3 linked regions of the Bombyx mori genome follow. The main gene of each other region encodes a partner of the protein of the gene in region 3 in a complex. Links are inferred from orthologs where the notes say so. Each region holds a gene or a part of one and is shown on either strand. Other genes may lie near its edges.

Evidence for each region.
Region 1: AT-rich interactive domain-containing protein 2 (region 3) and protein polybromo-1 share a complex: the UniProt entries of both Homo sapiens proteins name them as parts of the SWI/SNF-B (PBAF) chromatin remodeling complex. The link is inferred for Bombyx mori from reciprocal best matches to the Homo sapiens genes ARID2 and PBRM1.
Region 2: AT-rich interactive domain-containing protein 2 (region 3) and SWI/SNF-related matrix-associated actin-dependent regulator of chromatin subfamily B member 1-A share a complex: the UniProt entries of both Homo sapiens proteins name them as parts of the SWI/SNF-B (PBAF) chromatin remodeling complex. The link is inferred for Bombyx mori from reciprocal best matches to the Homo sapiens genes ARID2 and SMARCB1.

What each region holds. Positions count from the first base shown.
Region 1 is NC_085132.1:4,595,659-4,602,482, forward strand, and holds part of protein polybromo-1, read right to left. Parts: intron 6,682-6,824; coding exon 6,417-6,681; intron 5,894-6,416; coding exon 5,795-5,893; intron 5,317-5,794; coding exon 5,155-5,316; intron 4,587-5,154; coding exon 4,380-4,586; intron 1,205-4,379; coding exon 1,025-1,204; intron 689-1,024; coding exon 540-688; intron 410-539; coding exon 291-409; intron 207-290; coding exon 93-206; intron 1-92. UniProt on the Homo sapiens protein: Involved in transcriptional activation and repression of select genes by chromatin remodeling (alteration of DNA-nucleosome topology). Required for the stability of the SWI/SNF chromatin remodeling complex SWI/SNF-B (PBAF).
Region 2 is NC_085122.1:12,045,709-12,052,532, forward strand, and holds part of SWI/SNF-related matrix-associated actin-dependent regulator of chromatin subfamily B member 1-A, read right to left. Parts: coding exon 6,781-6,824; intron 6,326-6,780; coding exon 6,163-6,325; intron 5,872-6,162; coding exon 5,724-5,871; intron 5,007-5,723; coding exon 4,795-5,006; intron 3,125-4,794; coding exon 2,948-3,124; intron 2,515-2,947; coding exon 2,376-2,514; coding exon of another isoform or gene 2,368-2,375; exon of another isoform or gene 1-2,367.
Region 3 is NC_085120.1:8,105,446-8,112,269, reverse strand, and holds part of AT-rich interactive domain-containing protein 2, read right to left. Parts: intron 6,714-6,824; coding exon 6,636-6,713; intron 5,546-6,635; coding exon 5,445-5,545; intron 4,890-5,444; coding exon 4,800-4,889; intron 3,815-4,799; coding exon 3,713-3,814; intron 3,165-3,712; coding exon 2,781-3,164; intron 1,078-2,780; coding exon 967-1,077; intron 85-966; coding exon 1-84. UniProt on the Homo sapiens protein: Involved in transcriptional activation and repression of select genes by chromatin remodeling (alteration of DNA-nucleosome topology). Required for the stability of the SWI/SNF chromatin remodeling complex SWI/SNF-B (PBAF).

The sequences.
Region 1 (6,824 bases), on a different chromosome or scaffold from region 3:
GTCTACGGGCTCCAGTAACCACTTAACACCAGGTGGACTGTGAGCTCGTCCACCCATCCAAGCAATAAAAATATATATATAAAAAAACACACCGGCCTCTCCTTTTCTTGCACGTTCTCGAGTACTTCTAGCTCGGCCAGCTCGTCTTTGTGCTTCTCGACGCGCTCGCGGAACACGGAGACGGTCCGCTGCGGCTCTAGCGCCACCTATAGACGCATTTCAATTCATTAAAACTAACACAGGTAAATACTCCAATAAATAAAATCAAACGAATTCAGAATTCAGGTTACCTCTCTGGGAACAATCGACACTTCTTTCTCGGAGCCCTCCCAGGCTCTGATCTTTTTGAACCACCTGTGCTTCGTGCTGTACCGACTCTCGCAGACGTAGACGTCTTTGTCAGCGTAGCCTATACAAAATAAAAAATAAAGATTAGATATTTGTGAGACTTGTTTTCATTACAGACGGGCCATTGTGTTGTGAAGTATTGTGCATATTAATGAACTACGAAATCAGATGTTGGTTCACAAGAGGATCACCTTCAGGTCTAAACTTGAAATATTCCTTCACGTTCATAACGTAGCAAGGTCCCACGACGCGGTCCAGGGGCACAGGTTTGTACACATCCGTTTTGAACACTTCTTGTTGGAGGAACTTTCGGGTTCTGATGTGGAATGTCTCTTGAGGTCTGCACAGTTAAAAAATAGTTTAATTTTGCAGCAAAAATATTAATAGGACTGAAGGAAATCAATAATCGTTTAGTTTGTAAACATTCTTGTAAGATTTATTATAAGTCAAAACAATAGTGCGTTAGTTGTAGCAGTTTGAACAGTGCAAAATGTTTTATTTCTTTCCGTGCATTCAAAAGCAACTTTATGAATTTTCCTTTTTTTTTAAATAGGCACATACCCATTCTTCAAATTAAAGTAATTTTTATTTTAGTACACTATTATTATGATCGTTTTTACCTTGTACATTCATAATGGTTATAAGTATATTATTATTAACGTTTACAAATCCTTACCTAAAGTACATGTTGCAATACAGCATAGTTATACCATCGCTGTTAGTCCAAAGTCTTTCTACTTGAACAATATTGAAGTCTTTATTGCCCTTCTCAGGTTGGATGTACAGGAAATCACCTTTCCTGTACTGAGATTGAAGATTGGTATCACCCGACGGCATGGAGTCATCCGTACTCGATCTAGAGAAAGCAAATATTTTTGTGTCCAGAAGGAATGATGTCACTTATCTCAATTTTTTTTTTTTAATATTCTAATCTTATACAAAGAAAGGGGAAGAGGTCGACCGAAGAAGACATGGATGGAGTGTGTGAATGACGATATGAGAGAGAGAGGAGTGAGTGTTGAGATGACGGCTGATAGAAGAGAATGGAAGAGAAAAATTAGCTGTGCCTACCCCACATAGTGGGATAAGGTGGAGAAAAAGAAGATTCTAATCTTATACATTAGTCTAGTCAACAAGTTCAAAAACGTGTTAAATAGACATAAAGCTCCTAAAAATATGTACGATAGCTCATTGGATGCGGAATGATGTCTACAAAAATGTTTTTTAAGGGCTTATTAGCACATAAAAAATTGCGATTGTTATAAACAAAATAAGATTTTAAAAAAAGGAATTTGGTTTTTCCTTAATAATTTCTAAAATAATGATATTTAAGGAATTTTGAAAAAAGATCCTGAAAGAGGAGGAAATTTCCAATAAAAAAGTCCCAACTCCCGGAATTCTATCTCTATTATTTATAAAAAAAAAATAACGCTGAAAATAGCGCTCCGCGAGGTCGCTACGGCATAGGCGCGCAGTCTAAAAAGCCGGTATATCACCTAAAATATTTTTTTTATAGTATTAAATAACAATTTAAAAATTTGAATAAATTATGGTGTAATCTAAACACTTGAAGGAAAAAAACCTCGGTGAAAAAAAAACTTTACATCGATTTTTCAAAAATTTACACCATTGTTAATTAACTAACTTTTTTCCAATCTCTGTTTTTATAAATTACGGTATAAAAGTTACAATAATTCATCTATAAATTTTTCCCTTCGTGGAGCTCTTATCATTTAAGTACTTAATAAAGTTAAGCAAAAAATTTGTTTTAATCTTTAATCATGAAATTTCAAAAAATATCAAAGAAATCATAATTTTTTATAAACAAATGCTTATAACTGATAAACAATAGTTACAGGATCGATTTTGAATTTATTTTAAAGATAAATAAATCCTTTATAAAAATGACCTGAGTGTCCTTTACCGTATCTCTTATAGTTTAAAAGTTATAACAATTTATAACTTGACAAATTATGTAACGGCTGTAATTTCATTATCATATAATATCTAAAAATGCTGTAAAAAATACAAAATTTTTTTTTCTTTATTTTGTTATGTATGGTTGTTTTTATAATTTTTTGTAGTTTTCGAAAAAAAATATAACGATTAATATTAATTTTTTATAACAAATTGTTAAGTTAATAAACAATGAAATTATTTATAAAAAAATGTATTTCTTTGTTAATCCGCTGAAAAGAGTCAATGATGATTTTTAAGAAAAAAATAATTTCTTAACTAATTATTTAAACAATTGAAATATGAAAAAAACGATTTTAAACAATTAAAACATTTATTTAAGAATTTTTTTTTTTCTAAATCTTTATGTCACCTATAGAATAAGACGGTAATTCTTTTTTTTTTTTAATCCCAAAATAGTCTATTTATTTATAAACAATTTCTTAACAAATAGCGTAAAAATTTTTTTTTAAATGTTAATTAAAACCTATGGTAGATGCAAAAACAGCAATATTAAGATAACACGAAAAAAAAAATTTTTTCATAACATTTTTTAGAAATTAAATTTTTTGTTAATTAAAAAAAATTATAATTATCAAAATAATAAAGATTAAAAATTTTTTTTTGCTTAACTTTATTAAGTACTTAAATGATAAGAGCTCCACGAAGGGAAAAATTTATAGATGAATTATTGTAACTTTTATACCGTAATTTATAAAAACAGAGATTGGAAAAAAGTTAGTTAATTAACAATGGTGTAAATTTTTGAAAAATCGATGTAAAATTTTTTTTTCACCGAGGTTTTTTTCCTTCAAGTGTTTAGATTACACCATAAATTATTCAAATTTTTAAATTGTTATTTAATACTATAAAAAAAATATTTTAGGTGATATACCGGCTTTTTAGACTGCGCGCCTATGCCGTAGCGACCTCGCGGAGCGCTATTTTCAGCGTTATATTTTTTTTATAAATAATAGAGATAGAATTCCGGGAGTTGGGACTTTTTTATTGGAAATTTCCTCCTCTTTCAGGATCTTTTTTCAAAATTCCTTAAATATCATTATTTTAGAAATTATTAAGGAAAAATCAAATTCCTTTTTTTTTAAATCTTATTTTGTTTATAACAATCGCAATTTTTTATGTGCTAATAAAGCCCTTAAAAACATTTTTGTAGACATCATTCCGCATCCAATGAGCTATCGTACATATTTTTAGGAGCTTTATGTCTATTTAACACGTTTTTGAACTTGTTGACTAGACTACATAGTAGCTGACAGAAATGTCTGATTATACAAATAACAATTAAGCATTAAAGCAGTAAATTTTAAAGTATTGTGTTTAATAAGATTATGTGTTTAGGCAATTTAGGTAATATTCTTGTTCACAACAGATATTAAAAATGTTTACCGAATTGTTTTTTTCTAAATTTCTTTTTTCAATTTATTTATTTCATATTTATAATACATTCAAGAACTTAGAACTATATTCATGATTTGCAATAACTGTCATTTATTCTTTTTGAAGGGCAGCACCGACAGATAACCTTATAATTATGTATTACCATAAAATATTACCATATAATACTCTCCAAAATTTATAATTATTTAAAATCGATTATTAATTTATAAGTTTCAATATTTTTTTAGTCTATTATATTACGATAACGACGTGTAGAGCTAGTGCGTAGACGATCGACCCCGAGGACTTTTTGGCAGGAACGCAAGTAGTGAAGTTGTGTATTTTGTTTTATTTTGTCTATTTAGTGGTTTATTAACTGTTTAATATATGTGAAAGTGGACAAATTTAGGAAAATGGAACAAAGCCGCTGGACGTAGCTTCTCGAGATCCTCCAAAAAGCCCGCTGAAAAAATCTCAGTAATAAATAACCATCATTTTACTGCGATTATATTTCATTCCATATCATCTCATCTCATTTAATTTAATTTCTATTATCATTTTTCATAAAAATAAGAATATAAATTAAAATAAGACTTGACTAAAAGGTCTTAGTTACCAGGTCACAAATCTCCTAAAAAAAAACGACCCCGCCCGCTACAGGAACTACTAGGAGTTACCTAGTTTCATCCTCATCGTCGTTCTCTTGCAGCAGCTTGCACTGCTTGATGAGCTCGACGCTGGTGGAGACGGTGTCGCGCGTGAAGGTGAGCGCCGGCGACTGCAGCGTGCCGCGGCACAGCGCGTCCCTCTGCTCTATGTAGTAGCACTGCAGCTCGACTGAGTCTTCGAAAATTTGACTATCTGTACGGGAGAGGCGACGTGCTCTGCGAAAATGTTCAAAAACAGATTTTAGATAGCACAATACCACTGCTTGTTTCTGGCGAAAACAGCCTGCATTCTGATTCATAGTCCGGCGCGGCTGTATATAATGCAGTTTAGATTTCTACTCCATGTGTATAGGTGAGTGACGGTCATGTTGTGATGTCTGTGGACACCGCTATTTTTTTATTGCTTAGATGTGTGGGCGAGCTCACAGCCCACCTGGTGTTAAGTGGTTACTGGAGTCCATAGACATCAACAATGTAAATGCGCTACACACCTTGAGATATATGTTCTAAGGTCTCAGTATAGTTACAACGGCTGCCCCACCCTTCAAACAGAAACGCATTACTGCTTCACGGCAGAAATAGGCAGGGTGGTGGTACCTACCCGTGCGGACTCACAAGAGGTGCTGCCACCAATAAACCAGATTTCTACTTCATGTGTATAGGTTAATGACGGTCATGTTGTGGTATCTATAGACACCGCTGTTCATTTAACAGCAGTACGTTACGAGCGGTGCAGCTTACAGATAAATTAGATTAATTAATACTTTTTTTTTTACTTGATTACCTTTCAAACACAGCAAACATATCTTGCTGGAAATGATCCAGTCTCTTGTACAGCCCTTTGTCAAGTCTTCTCTTGACCAAATCCAGCGATATAGCTCGCATCTTCTCGCCATTGTTTGTTTCGTCGTGTTCCGGTAACTCGGCCATGCTGTCTGAGTAACACCTGAACATTTTCAAAATAGAATTCATTATTACACTGAAATATTACTGAAAATCAATAAAATAAAACAAAAATCAGTGTTCAAGTGACAAATTGAGAAAATATCACTTCAAATTTAATGTTTCAAATAATTCACTAATGTGAAGCATTCACTTAATTTAATTTAGAACTTAGGCAATTTAGAAGATCAGATCAGAATAGAGAAGATTAATCAAAAATATTACAAAAATGATTTGACACATGAAATATATTTTATAATGTACATATACAAAATATTAGTAAAAAAGACAGTATAAATATTATCAAAAGTGTCAAAAATAATTAAGAAGATGTATAAGAAGATCAAGAATAATTAAGATGATGAGTGATTAAATATTCAGCGTACTGAATTTCCTCCCAATCATTTTAGTTTTGTAGTAAATCTGATATAACGATACAAGTTTCCTACCATTAAACATTTGGTTTTAACGACTATTCTCACCTCCCCTCTTCATCTTGATGATTGTATACTGTGGTAAAGAGATTCAATAATAGTTCTTGGACAGCGGCTGGAACGTCGGGCACTGCATCGTCGTCTTGACTGTTGACGGAAATATTTTTGTACATTTATTCAATTTAAGTTTTAATGCTCATATATGTATACAACGTGTTACAAAATACTCCGTAAAAAATATAATTAATTATCAAAGACAAAAATTTTGTTAACCCTAGTAAGCTGTCATGTCAGGGAACAAAATTATTTAACAGAAAAGCCTACATACCTATTTTACTTAATAATTGTCTACTCTAATAATTTTTCTATTTTTCAATCATAAATATTTGCTACCTCAATACAAGGATATCATTATACTCAAGTACTGGCTTAAAAAAATGTCAAGTAGGAAAAAAATGTATGTTTTTCATGTAGGTGCACTCTGCGTAGTTTAATATTATAAATGTAAAAGTGAAAGAAGCCGCTGGCACAGTCTAGTGTCTATATATGAAACGTTATTATGTTACTCCCTTTTATAACTTTGATTTATTCAATTTGGCAGTATAAATTCGACATACCTAGGTACGTTAATCATGAAGCTTACTAATTGCTAAAACTTATAAGACTTTACCTTAACATCTGCTTGGTCTGCAGACAGACTCTGTGCAGTATCAAAGCGTCCTTGTAGATCTGCGAGTCGGGCTCATTGTACTTGCAGGCGTTATCGAACATCAGTATGAAATCCGAAGCCAGCTCGTTAACTGAACTGTAACTGTTGCTCTTCAATTTGTGAGCAATCTTCTCCATGTCTATCGGGTTCTTGATGAGCTCATAATAATCAGGGTACTCAGTTTTACTGGGTAGCTTCATGAAGATCAGGGCCAGCTGGCGGTTGGCTGTAATCACAGAGACCACTTTTTTTAAACGGATGAATGGTGGAACAGGAAGAATTTATTTATTGGCACTTCGCAGCAAGTTGGTGAGTTCGTCTACCTACTTGAAGCACTAAAATTAAATTAAAATTCCGGCAATGGAATGA
Region 2 (6,824 bases), on a different chromosome or scaffold from region 3:
TGCATATATAATTTTATTCATATTTAATATAATATCCATACTCTTTTCCAATTACGAAGTCCCATTTGACAGAAGTTATTTTTATGTCATTGTGTGCGTGATTTAATTGTATAATGATTTAGATTGATTGTGTATTTTTAAATAATGATTTACCATAATAATATGATCATGAAAAAAAATGATTATTATTTCAATATATGCGAAAGGTGAAGAGTTACGTTCTAAGAAGTGTCAAAAGGGTCACGTTATCTGGGATCCTCCCGATCCACTAATGATGCTTTTAGGTACCTCAAGCACCGGTCATCGTCCTCGTCGAACCCGTCGCTTGCGACGAAGGGCTCGACGAGTAAATTAATTAAATAGGCACAGCCCACTGAGTTTCTCGCCGAATCATCTCAGTGGGTCGCGTTTCCGATCCGGTGGTAAATTCTACGAAGCACGGCTCTTGCTAGGGCCAGTGTTAGCAACGTCGTCAGGTTTGAGCCCCGTGAGCTCATCTACTAGCCCGTCGTCGCTGACATGGTCTCTCTAGACCAGCGGTCGGGGAACCGGGGTAAATTACCCAAAACGGGGTAATATGAAATTATGGGGGGTAAAAATGAAACTTTTGTGAGTAAAAAGTATATTATATTGAAGTGAAACTTCTTTAGAATCGTTGTGATTTCAAATTATTATTCATGAGAGCTATAATATGAAAGATGCTAAAAAGAAGCGATTTCGTTTTTTTTGTTCTTCGCCATGGGGTAATATCAACATACACAAAAAAATTTTGGGGTAATAATTAAAAAAGTTCCCCGACCGCTGCTCTAGACACTCAGTTTAGGTAAGTCAAAAGGGACTTCGTAATTGGAATAGAGTATAAAAATGATGTTCATTTTGTTTGTTCATACTCGAGTCTCGCTGGTGACGTCACAACCTGCGCGTCATCAGCGAGGATCGAGGTAAATTGAGACCGACAGCGCAAAAGGGGCCTAACCCACAATTTGTCATATTCGCGCTTATATATTGTAATTTATTTAAAAGGTAATAAATTTTGATGCAAAACCGGCCTGTCCCTAGTCTCACCCATAGAGAACAGATGGCTTTGTAAACAACCTCATTATCTCCATACTAACTATGATAAGCTAAGGACTAGAGATGAAACGGATAGTGGTTTGGTCGGATACTGGATACCGAATATTCGGCCCTTTTTTTCAAATCAAATGAAATTAAAGCTACAAATCAACTTTCGGAAATATTCGTGCGCGTTCGGGTGTTGTCGCACGTGAGCGGAGATCGCGACGACTCGGTACGACGACGATTCGGTATTCATTCACCACAATTTACCACTTGTTAATTTTGAGTATTAAACAAACTAATTGATAAAACAATCACATTTGACGTGCGATTATAAAAATAAAAGTTGTCCAATAAACTATTTATTGTGGTATTAATTGCCTTTTGTATAGCCATGAGATTTTCTTAAATTTTACTATCCGAAATCCGGCCGGATAGTGATTTACTATCCGGTATCCGGCCATGTTTTCACTATCCGGCCGTTACCGGATATCCGTTTCATCTTTATTTTCCAGGTCTCACATCCAAACATTAAAGCACTTTTGGTAACAAAGCCAACTGGATCCGACGAGTTAGGTAACTTAACTCCCAGACTAGATTTAACTGCGCAAATGTAATGTAGACTAATTAATTTAAATAAACAGTATATCATTTCAGTTTAAACTAAGATATGAATGAGAAATTTAATGTATTTTGAAACAAAAGACAATTAAAAAGCCATGTCCCCTTTGCTTGCTCCCACAGACTACTCACCTCATACTGAGGCGGTGTCTTAAATAATAAAAATACTAGATGATGACAGAGCTTTGCTCGGTTTTTTTTTTTGACAACGCCATCTTAGTGTCTTTAAAGAGGTTAGTTGCCCTCAATTAAAAAAATAGGATTATTATTCGCCAATAGATGTCGGGAAGAGTTGATTATTGAAAACACGAATAAAACAACATTTTCTGAAAATAAATCGTAGCTAGATCGATTTATCGCCCCCGAAATCCCCTGTATACTAAATTTTATGAAAATCGTTGGAGCCGTTTCCGATATTCAGATTATATATATATTAATATACAAGAATTGCTCGTTTAAAGGTATAAGATTACTTAGCTAATGTATTATGTGAAAATCTTAACAACGGGACTTTTTGTGTGAAAAAATAGTGAAAACATGGCCGGATAGGCCGGATACCGGATAGTTACCGGATATCCGTTTCATCTCTACTTAGGATACTTTTGCGCTGACTGCCTCAATTACAAGTCACCGGGATTGCATTTTCCGCTCGTCCCTGGGGCCTGTGCGGCTCCGCGAGTGGTGGTGGCGTTACCAACCGGGCGCGGTGTTGGCGAGCCTCCGCATGCGCCTGGTGTTCCGGTCCTGGTCCCGGATCTTCTTCTCCATCTCCGCGTTGGTGAGGGTCTCGAGGTGCGGGGCCCACTGCTCGGCCTCCGACGGGACGCGGTACGGCGTCTGTGTGACAATTCGAGGATGTTCAAATGACAAATGGTAATCGAACTCCGGGGACTTAATAATAAAAGAGTTGGTTTTTTGGAGTTGGTAAATGCGCCACACACCTTGAGATATAAGTTCTTAGGTCTCTGTATAGGTACAACGGCTGCCCCATCCTTCAAACCGAAACGCATTACTGCTTCACAACAGAATTAGGCAGGGTGGTGGTGCCTACCCATGCGGACTCACAAGAGGTCCTACCACCGGTAAAAATTGTATCATCTCAAACAATTCCTCAGAGCACTCCTCACGGAACATACGGTACAAAATACAGAAGGAGCCGAAGTCCCTCTGCAGATCCAGAGGTTCCAAAGAGTTCCAAGAAGCTGAAGTAGCCTCTCAAGGCTATCAGCATGGGTAGGAAAAAAAAAAGTAGCATGTATGTGGTGCGCACCTCGACCACGGGTAGGGGCGCCTCGCTGAAGGCGTAGGTCCGCTGGTGCCAGCCGAGCTGCCCGCGCACGGAGTACGCGATGCCGGTCACGAACTCCCCGCCGAGGCCCAGCTCCGAGCACAGCTTCATCGCGAACTGCTCCGGGTTGTTCTCCTTCTCGGCCATGTCCCACTCCACCTGGTACACCAGACACACATTCAATACCAAATAGCAAATATCCAGCGTAATCTTTATATATAAAGTGTATATATATATATATATACTAGCTGTACCCGACCGCTTCGCTGGCTATTTAAAATTAACATTATTATTTCTCACCCCCCCAAAGATTCTCATCATTAACGCCCCCAACTGGTGTAGGGAGTCCAACACTCATATAAATATTAGCCTATCCATTAAGTACATGTATTTTCTACATGGATACCAAGTTTCAAGTCAATCGGATGTATGGTTCAGTAGTTATAACGGAACATCCGTAAAAACCACTGTAGATTTATATATTAGTATAGACTTATAGATTTCTTCTATGCGTGTGTATGTCACTGAGCTCCTCCTAAACGGCTGGACCGATTTGAATGTTTTTTTTGTATGCGTTTGGGTGGCACCCTGGATGGTTTAGATTCACAAATCAGCCCGGCAGATGGCGCTACAGGCGGTATCTAGGTTATTTATCTATACTACAACTAAACGGCTGGATCGACTTGAATGAATTTTGCAGGACGTCTGTCGAGTCCGCTAGTCCCTTTATTATATTGAATAATAATTTTTGTATAATATTTAGTGACGGTAAAACCTTTTGATTCCGCGCGGTTAGGTACCACCACCCCGCCTATTTCTGCCGTGAAGCAATAATGCGTTTCGGTTTGAAAAGTGGGATAGTCGTTGTGACTATACTGTGGCCTTAGAACTCATATCTCAAGGTGGGTGGCGACATCTACGTTGTAGATGTTTATGGGCTTCAGTAACCACTTAACACCAGGTGAACTATGAGCTCGTCCAACCATTTGTGCAATAAAAAATAACTTTAAATTTTAAAATTACTAAAAATATTCAAATGTCAAATTCTCATTCGCTTTTCCATGTGAGCAATGATTTATTGTGTTGTGAGTAAACATTCACACTCATTACCAGTGGTTGGAGTAGGTAGATTGATTTTATATACTTGTGTCAAGATATTACAATATGGACATGTCATTTTATCCATAATGGTTTTTTTTTTAATGGAAAAAAAAACATTTTTAAGCCTCATCGGATACAATTTCTTTATTTATGAGATAAAGTAACAAAAAGCCCTGTCTAAATTTTGTCTCATACTGACAAGCGTCATTTCTAAGTCAACAGAAAGGGACAAAATATATTCCAAGGTGTTTTTGTATAAAATAAAATACAGATTTCTTTCACCATTAGCTAAGACTGTGTAGGGATATATACGACAAAGGGAAGATCTTCCACCGAGCAGATGATATTGCTCGGTAGACCGACGGTCCAAATGTTGTTGTTCGGAACTTGTATATATGCGCTTTATCTTGAAAATGTCGTAAGCGAGATTCAGGCATCTGTCAATTATCTTGCGTTGTATGATGGCTACCCGCCACAACTGGTAGCGTAGATTAATATTATTAACGCGTTTTTCACCTCAAACACAGATTCCAGCTAATTTCAAAATTCCGGAACAAATATCACAATAAATATGAAGTTCCGGTATTTTGGAGGCGTATCCATATTATCTTCTACGTTTGACGTCAACGACCTTAAATCAATCTACCTACTCCGACCTCTACTTATTACACATGTCAATTACATCTTCTATATTAATTATTTGAGTTTTCTTTGTAACTTGAACCTACCTGATCTACCAACGAAGTGTTTCCAACGTGTATATTGAGTTTGACGAGGACCCTCTGGTCGGTATGCTCCTCCAGTATGGGGGGAGGCTCGCTCGGGAAGGCATCGATCTGTTGCCGGATCGAGGAGGCCACAGCAGGTATGAAGGTGCTCGTGTTCAACTCTAAATCATCGCACAGCACCTCGGCAAACTGTTCTGGTGTTATTATTGATTCTGGAAAACAATCCTCCAATTTTTTATTTATTCAAAAACTTGTTAATAGGCTGCCTGCAATCCTTGTGAGAAAAAGCCTCAGACACAGCCCACTGAGTTTCTCGCCGGATCTTCTCAGTGGGTCGCGTTTCCGATCTGGTGGTAGATTCTGCGAAGCACACGGCTCTTGCTAGCGTTCGTGTTAACAACGTCATCACGTTTGAGCCCCGTGAGCTCACCTACTAGTTAAGGCAACGCTGATATAGCCTCTCAAGGCTATCAGCTTAGGCAGGAAAAAAAAGTGGGAACATACACATTATGGATATAAAAATTAAGGAGCGTATTCCTAAATTTATGTAAGGGTTGTGCTAAAAGAACAATATAGAATGAAAACGATAAAACATTAAAAATATTTTAACCAAATTTGCAGGGCGCATTGGAACTGTTCTGTGATCCAAGACAGTTGGACAAGGTCCTCCTGATCTTCAACACTTACTGCAGACCAACAATTTTCATTAAGCATGATTAAAGAACTTTATAAAGAATAGTTATAGTTAAAGATATAAGAAAATGTTATTATATATTTTCAATTGACAGTCGATACAATTCACAGTAAATACAGCCAATCTATTTATAATTTGGTAGACAGCAATTACACATTCTATTATTCAAATACTTTCTGAAATCAAAAATTGAGAATAAACAACCAGAATTGGTAACAAATGCAGTTAAACATACCATTTTTATTCCATGTAAATGTATCCCTGAGTTTTTGACCCTCAATCTCCATGTCCAATCGAATCGGTACAAGCACCTGCTTTTGCGAAGCATTCTCCAGCATTGCAGTCATGTCTGTGTCATCGAAACACAGTGGGAATGTTCTCACCTGAAAAGTATTCATTTTATGCTAGTTTTAATAATGATACTTTAGAACTATAGTATATTACATTAATTCCAATGTTCCATTTCAAAATCTGTTATTTATCTTACGATGTGTCTCTGATTTTGAGATATTCTATCTATCTTATCTATCTATCCTGAATCAGAAGCTAAATTAAATGTGTTGTGTTGACCTTAGAGTGTGGCCCCATGTCAAACATGATTAACTAGATAAACCTAGGAGTCAGAACCTGAAGCCCAACTGGACTTTAAGTTTTGACTTTAACATCCATTTTACCTTCTTATTATGCACCCTACTCCTGCTGATTGGAGTAGCCTGGGGTACAGCATCCAAATGAGAAGAGTTTGGCATGACTGGCAGCCATGATGGAGTGTGTGGCTTCTTGCTTTTGCTCTCACGGGGTGTCGCCAACTCTTGGCTGACGGACACTGCTTTGTATCTATAAATTAATTTAAAGCTGTGTCATAGCTGTAAATAGTTTAATGGACAACTGCTGTTTCATATACAATTCATAGTATTTAAGATTTCCTTGATATGCACACAGCAACTGACCAGAACCGATGGAGACTGGCACAGCTGAAACAGAGTCACAATCCTCAGCAATGAGGGAGCGATGAAGAAGAAAGATATGCACACATTTTGTTTTTTTTTTTATTGTCCTTAAAATAAGACAAACATACAATTCTTCTGATGGTAAGTGGTTAATGTCGTTCGTGGACTTCAATAGTGCCAGGTGCTCACCAAAACTTAAAGGTCTAATATTTCGACTGACTACTTCAGGTAGCTTCACTTATCATCAGATGGATTATGAACTCGTTCACCTGTCTATGCTAACACAGCAATTGTCGGTTTTAACCGCTTTCAATAGTTCACAAAATGTTTATAATGACGTACTTATCATCATTCCCTTCAATAATGTCTTCAACTTCTGACGCCTT
Region 3 (6,824 bases):
GGGAGGCGTGCGCGGACACGGCGGCGGCGGCGGCGGGGGAGGCGGAGTCGCCGTCGACTTGGGCGGTTTCGGCGTTACACTCTTCTAGAAATTACGATAAACGCTACTGAACGAAAACCCGGAGCGGCTTTTCGTGGTATTTGAAAATCGACCTTATTGTTACACGGCGACTGATTAGATTTAATTAGTAATTAGCGAAGAATTAAACAAATTGCAACCGATAAGTACCACTTGTCGAGCCGCAATGGACTACTTCAGATCGCTCTTCATATAAACACGTATTTTCGTTCGAATTGATAAAATAGAAGTAATAGATAAGATGATAAAAAATAGTAGAAAAGTGCTATTGTGGCTAACCGGAACAATGATGGAATAATTGTTGTGAGGACCAATAAGCTAGCTAATAAATAAATTTCTCATTAATCAACATTCGTTTTGAAAACTCATATGCGAAATAAATAATTACTTTAAGACACAAATAGAAAATTAAAACAGATTTTGTCAAAATGACAACACCATCAATATAGTTGAAATATGCATTATTGAGGGTAACTCAAAAACTACCAGTTGAATTTTGATAAAATTTAAATGTGACTGCATGTGAAGAACAAGCACAACGATTTAAAGAAGAGCTATCAAAATTGGACCACCTAGACCAGCCTTTCCCAAAGTGGGCGATAACATCCTCGTGTGGGCGCTGCAGGCCTAAAGGGTGGCGGTAAGAGACCCAGAAAAAAAACGGGGGCGTTGTGTAGGGGCTTGGGAGGTGATTTATAATTTTATCTAGGAGGACTCCCAGACACCGACGAGCTCTCCCTATAGTGGTTTTTAAATAGGTGAAAAAAATGGGGTCGCTTAAAATAATTTATTCTCAAAGTGGGCAGTAGACAAAATAAGTTTGGGAACCCCTGACCTAGCCGAATTGAGAAACTTTCTTTTTGAAAGTCTGTTAAAATGTCGTGATACCTCGGGAGTTACCGGCTGCGTCACAACTAGCTCCTTATCGCCGATCTTCGTGTTGCCAACCATCACCGGTTGCCGGGTGATCACCTGCCTCATTGCTTGTGCCTGGACTTTCTGTAAATAAAAAAATAATATTTAATTTATTTCTCCCTGTCCTAACATCTATACTAATATATAAATCTACATTGGTTTTTACGGATGTTCCGTTATAACCATGCATCCGATTGACTTGAAACTTGGTATCCATGTAGAAAATACATGTACTTAATGGAAATGCTAATATTTATATGAGTGTTGGATACCCTACACCAGTTGCGGGGGCGTTAATGATGACAATTTTTGTGGGGGTGAAAAATAATAATGCTAAATTTAAATGCCCAACGAAGCAGACGGGTACAGCTAATATACTATAATTATGGTTAACGTATCATAGTTTACCGAGATATTACTTACTTCTAGATATAGTGAGCTTAGTGCGAGTTCTTTAACGTTCTCGATAGCGTAAAAGTTAACATAAATTTGTATGGAGTTGGAACGTTTGCCTACGTTTGCCACTAGAGGCGGTGTTCCAATTCCATACAAATTTGAGTTAACTTTTACGCTATCGGGAATGTTAACAAAACTCGCACTAAATCCACAGATCAAAGGCTTTCTATAAACACAAACCCACAAAAAAATGCGAGTTTGCGTAATTAATAGCAGTAATGTGTGGGCCCGCACAGTTCGGTGCAATTATTGTTTTATATTATTTTGTATTGCTTCTAAATGGGTGAACGAACTGACAGTTTAGCCGATGCTAATGATTTACCGGAGCCCGAAGACGACTACAAAGTAAATACCGTCACCCACCAGTTCTAATTTTCAGTTTTACAGCACAATGGCTGCCCCACCCTTCGAATCGGAAAGTATTACTGCTTCGCGGCAGTAAAGTACCCACCCGCGCGCGGGTACATCACTACATATCTATCTCGAACGAAGCAGTTATGCGACTTTTTGGCGGGAACGCGACGAGTAAAGTTGTGTGATTTGTTTTATGTTATCTATTTAGTGTTTCTTCGGGTTTAAATGTGTAATAACAGTGGTTAATTAACTGTTTAATATTTGTGAAAGTGCACAAATGTGGGAAAATGAAACAAAGCCGCTGGACGTAGCTTCTCGGGATCCTCCAGAAAGTCCACTGAAAAAATCTCCGTAAATGACCATCATTTTACTGAGATTATATTTCATCCCATATCATCTCTCAAATGAATCATATTCATTCCATTTCACTCCATATTATAATTTTTCATAAAAATAAGAATATTAATTATTATAAGACATGACCTAAAGGTCGTAGTTACCAACCAGGTCATAAAATCCCTCAAAAAAAAAAAGAAGCAGTTATGCGTTCGGTTTTAAAGCATCGAACATTTGTGAGAACACAATTCAGACTTCGACTTCATGTATTGAGGTAGAGGGCAATCGCTTTACAATGTCTATAGACGCTGATAGCCGCTTATCAGAAGATGCTTCGTGAGATTGAATCTAAATGCATTAGAGCTACATGCCGTAGAGGTAGGCCAGGGCAATCGCGCTGTTCAACAAATTTCTGTCCGAAATCCAGGATGCTGACGTGTTTGCCGATAGTTGGGGAATACTTTTTTCCAAAATAATGTTATCTTTAGCATAATAATAATACTTAATAATTTTAATAATGTTTTTTATGTTAACGAGTTAGGCGTTTTGGTGCAAACTGTAAGCCTGACTTTGTATTGAATGGAATGAACAAAATAAATAAATAAAAATTAGAAAAGGAACTAATTGTCTCTAGAACTTACCGCGCCGCTCTGAATGACTGTATTCTTGGTGTCAGTCTGCACAACGGATGCCGGAGTCGCCATCGGTTGGTTCACGACTTGACTCCTCTGAGGTTGCACGACTCTGTGAACGTTCGCCTTCAGCGGTGCACTCATCAGCACGGGCTGGTTGTTCGACACCGATATAAGCTGTTGCCCCCCTTGGAGCAATTGCTGGTTCCCCTGAATCAGTTGCTGGGTGCCCTGCATCATTTGGTTGCTGGTCGACGTGGTGATAAGAGTGGGAGGTTGCTTCTGGGTCACAACTATCTGTTGCGCTTGAGGTTGACTAACGATTTGAGCCTTGTGGGGCTGCGGTTGGGTCGTTATTATCGGTTGCTGGCTTGGAGTTATTTGAGGGGCGTTCTGTAAGTTTAGGGGAGGCGTTAGAGAAATAAAACATTTTTCATTTACGAAATTTTCAAATAATTGATACAAAGCCGTTTGATTTCGATAATTAGAATACTAAGAAGCAAAATCACCAGTAAATGAAAACCGTATCTAAATGAATACAAATTCAGGATATTAACTTTTTTTCCCCCAGAAACATGACATGCCTTCAAATATTTTAAGTAAAAAAAAAAACTTTCATCTACACATTTAATAAAAAGCTTTCGTTTCATGCACAAAACCAAGATATACGCGAATTTGATACAATGGAAATTAGGAACATCAAAAACACTTAGATTACAATTCATCTATTGCCTAATGAGAATCAAAGCAAAATTCTACCTTAACCCTTCATTCTGAAAGACGCAACATGTTCTAGAAGCTACTTTTTCACTTAGCACTCTGTCCTGCTCGCACTTTTACATTCAACTTCATGCGAGAGCAGGATAACTATATTTTTAGTACTCTTTTTTTTTAACCATTCTAATGGATGCATAATTAAGAATATCAAATGATGCATGAACCTGAGCAATGGCAGTCTTCACAACGGTTATCGGCTGTGAAGTGCTCACTAGTGTTGGCTGACTGACAATAACCCTCTGGGTCGACTGTATCACTCCAGTATTCTGTACGTTCAAAATTATACTTTATTTCTATAAAATTAGGGTATAAAATACTTTGATGCATAATTTCGAGTCATGTTGACTTCAAAATATCAAAGAACTCATCAGAATTTAATACCATACGAGTGTTTTTTAAACTTTAGACAGTAAATTATAGATCTCTGTCGGAACAATGCCAACTTAATAATGCCAAATAAAAAAATATTCTTTTATTTATATCTGAATTTGTTTAAAATTTGAGCTCTCTCTCTCTCTCTATTTTGATGTAGCGCAATAAAATTTAGTCACTTTTTACTGTGTTATAGAGCTCATTTTCCAGTCGCACAACTTTAATTAAGCACAAAATCATTTAAATCCTGCAACCATAAATGAAACCAACTGATGAATAAAATCAAGAAGAAAACGATGATATTTGCAGATGAGAAATGAATGAAATATGATTTACGTTAGAGGAAACGCATAGAATTTTTCAAGTCTTTTACTGGCTTAAATCTTTAATTAAATAAAGATAAATATTTATTTTGTGTTTCTGACTATACTACTATCAAATAAATATATTCATAATATTACACAGTTCATCAATGTTGCAAACTGTACATTGTTTGTAATTATACTAATATCAGACCCAACAGATGATAACTCGATTATAATGAAAATTATTGTTATTTAAACACACATTTAACGGGCTCGAGCTTGACGTTAGCTTCTTCACCGGCACAGGATACACAGACATACAGCCAAACGAATACCAAACATCGCTGGCACAGTACCAAGCCAAGGAGAGGTGATCTTATCGAAAATTAGTAAAAGCATTATGACATGAATAGATTTTGTTAATACAACGCTGTTATTACATGTAAATTTGTAAAAAAATATATATACTTTAAAAACAAAAAGGAAAATGAACGATTAGCATGAACGAATGAGAACCCATAGACAACAGAAATTAGTACTAGCGATACTTTTTGGTCATGTTTTATTTTTTAACCTGTATTATTTGTTGTTGAGTCAATGCTTCGGTCGCTTGCGCTATTAGACTGTTTAGCGTGCCTTCGTCCAAGCCGCCAGGGTTGTTCACCTTACATATGAAAATTTAATTATCCTTTTAAATTGGTTAACTGTAACTATTGAACATTCGGGTTTTGTAACTACAAACATAAGCACGTTCGTCCTTTATATAAGAGCAAAATAGCCGCTATCCTAATACCGATAAGGCTTAATTTTCATATGACAAGTTTAACGATGTTATTCTTTTTGCGATGTCTATGTGCCCCGACATAAAATTACTTTACAACAAATTTGAACAAATTTGAATTTCCTAATATATCCAGAGAAATTAATGCTCTAATGCTGATTATATCAGATGATTGATCAGAATTTAAAAATCGACAAACACGTGACCCTTAAATTGGTTCGTGACAGCCCTAAGTACAAAACGCACACGGCATTCAGTTGACATTAAATTTTGATAAATTCTACATGGAGACATGTGAAGCATATTTAATTCCACATGAATTTTATCATCTCGTGTCATTATCATATACAAACGTACATAATTAAAAAGTTTTGTTTTGTACTTATGACATTTTTGCTGACACCAATAATTGATCATGCTGATGTGTTTCAAGCTTACCGTGAGCGTCAGCGGTCCACCCCCGGCTGGACCCTGAACGATTATTATAGTCTTCTGCATCATATTGCTCGGCAGATTCTGGGTGATGTAACTCAGACCTGCTGAAACACACAACGAATCGTCACGAGGAACCTGTGACAGATGCTGTGTCATAAGAACCGGTTTGCAGGGCAGCCGGTAATGAAGACTCCGACCTGGTGCCTGAACAAGGTATCTATTTACTGGTGGTAGGACCTCTTGTGAGTCCGCACGGGTAGGTATCACCACCCTGCCTATTTCAGCCGTGAAGCAGTAATGCGTTTCGGTTTGAAGGGTGGGCAGCCATTGTAACTGAATATGCAATTTCGAAAGGGCACATCTCGGAAAATGTAAAATGTTCAGGAACTGAAAAAAAACTCATTCTTTTCTAAAGCAGTGTAAAATTTAAAAAACTAACTTTTGAGATATATTTTAGTGTTAATTAGCAATTGAAAATTACTGGAATTATTATAAAATGGGTGTAGGTAAGCCTCAAAAGTACATGTATATGAAAAACGTATTTGACAAAATATGCGACATGTGCCCTTTTCGAAATTGCATATTCAACTATACTTTAGACCTTAGAATTTATATCTCGAGGTGGGTGGCGCATTTACGTTGTAGATATCTATGGGCTCCAGTGCCCACTTAACACTAGGTAGGCTGTGAGCTCATCCACCCATCTAAGCAATAAAAAAAAAGAATCAAATATAGATAACACAGAATTTTGTATTTTATTCTAAAAGCCATTTTTAACATGCATTTTTATAGCCTAATATCTTCTTTTTTTTATTACTTATATGGGTGGACGATCTCACAGCCCACCTGGTGTTAAGTGGTTTTTTTCGTCTTTACTCGTCTCTTCAAGGCAAGATAATAAGTAACATTCTATGCCTGAACTAAAAATTTCGCGGAAGAGCCGCAGCCTCAAAGAGACTTATGGGACTCGTGTTAAGTGGTCACCGGCGCCCATAGACATCAACAACGTAAATGCCGTCGCCCACCTTGTGACATGAGTTCTAATTCTCCGTTTTGAGATTGAGATACAAAGGGTGCCGCATCCTTCAAACCGAAACTCAAGACTGCTTCGTGGCAGCAATGGGCGGGACGGTGGTGCCTACCCGTGGGGGTTCCCAAGACAGCAGTAAAGACAGATTTCATCCCTGCGTTTACCTTGAGAAGTGCTGGGGGTAGCGATGATCTGCATTGGCTGCTGCATAAACTGCGCCGGCTGTGTTGCTATCGTTTTTTCTGCGACAAAATGTTTTATTCTAAGTATAATAAAATAAATCAAAATAACACACACATTAATAGCACGTTCAACTAAAAACTAATCATAGTTTTAATGGTGATTCTAGTCAG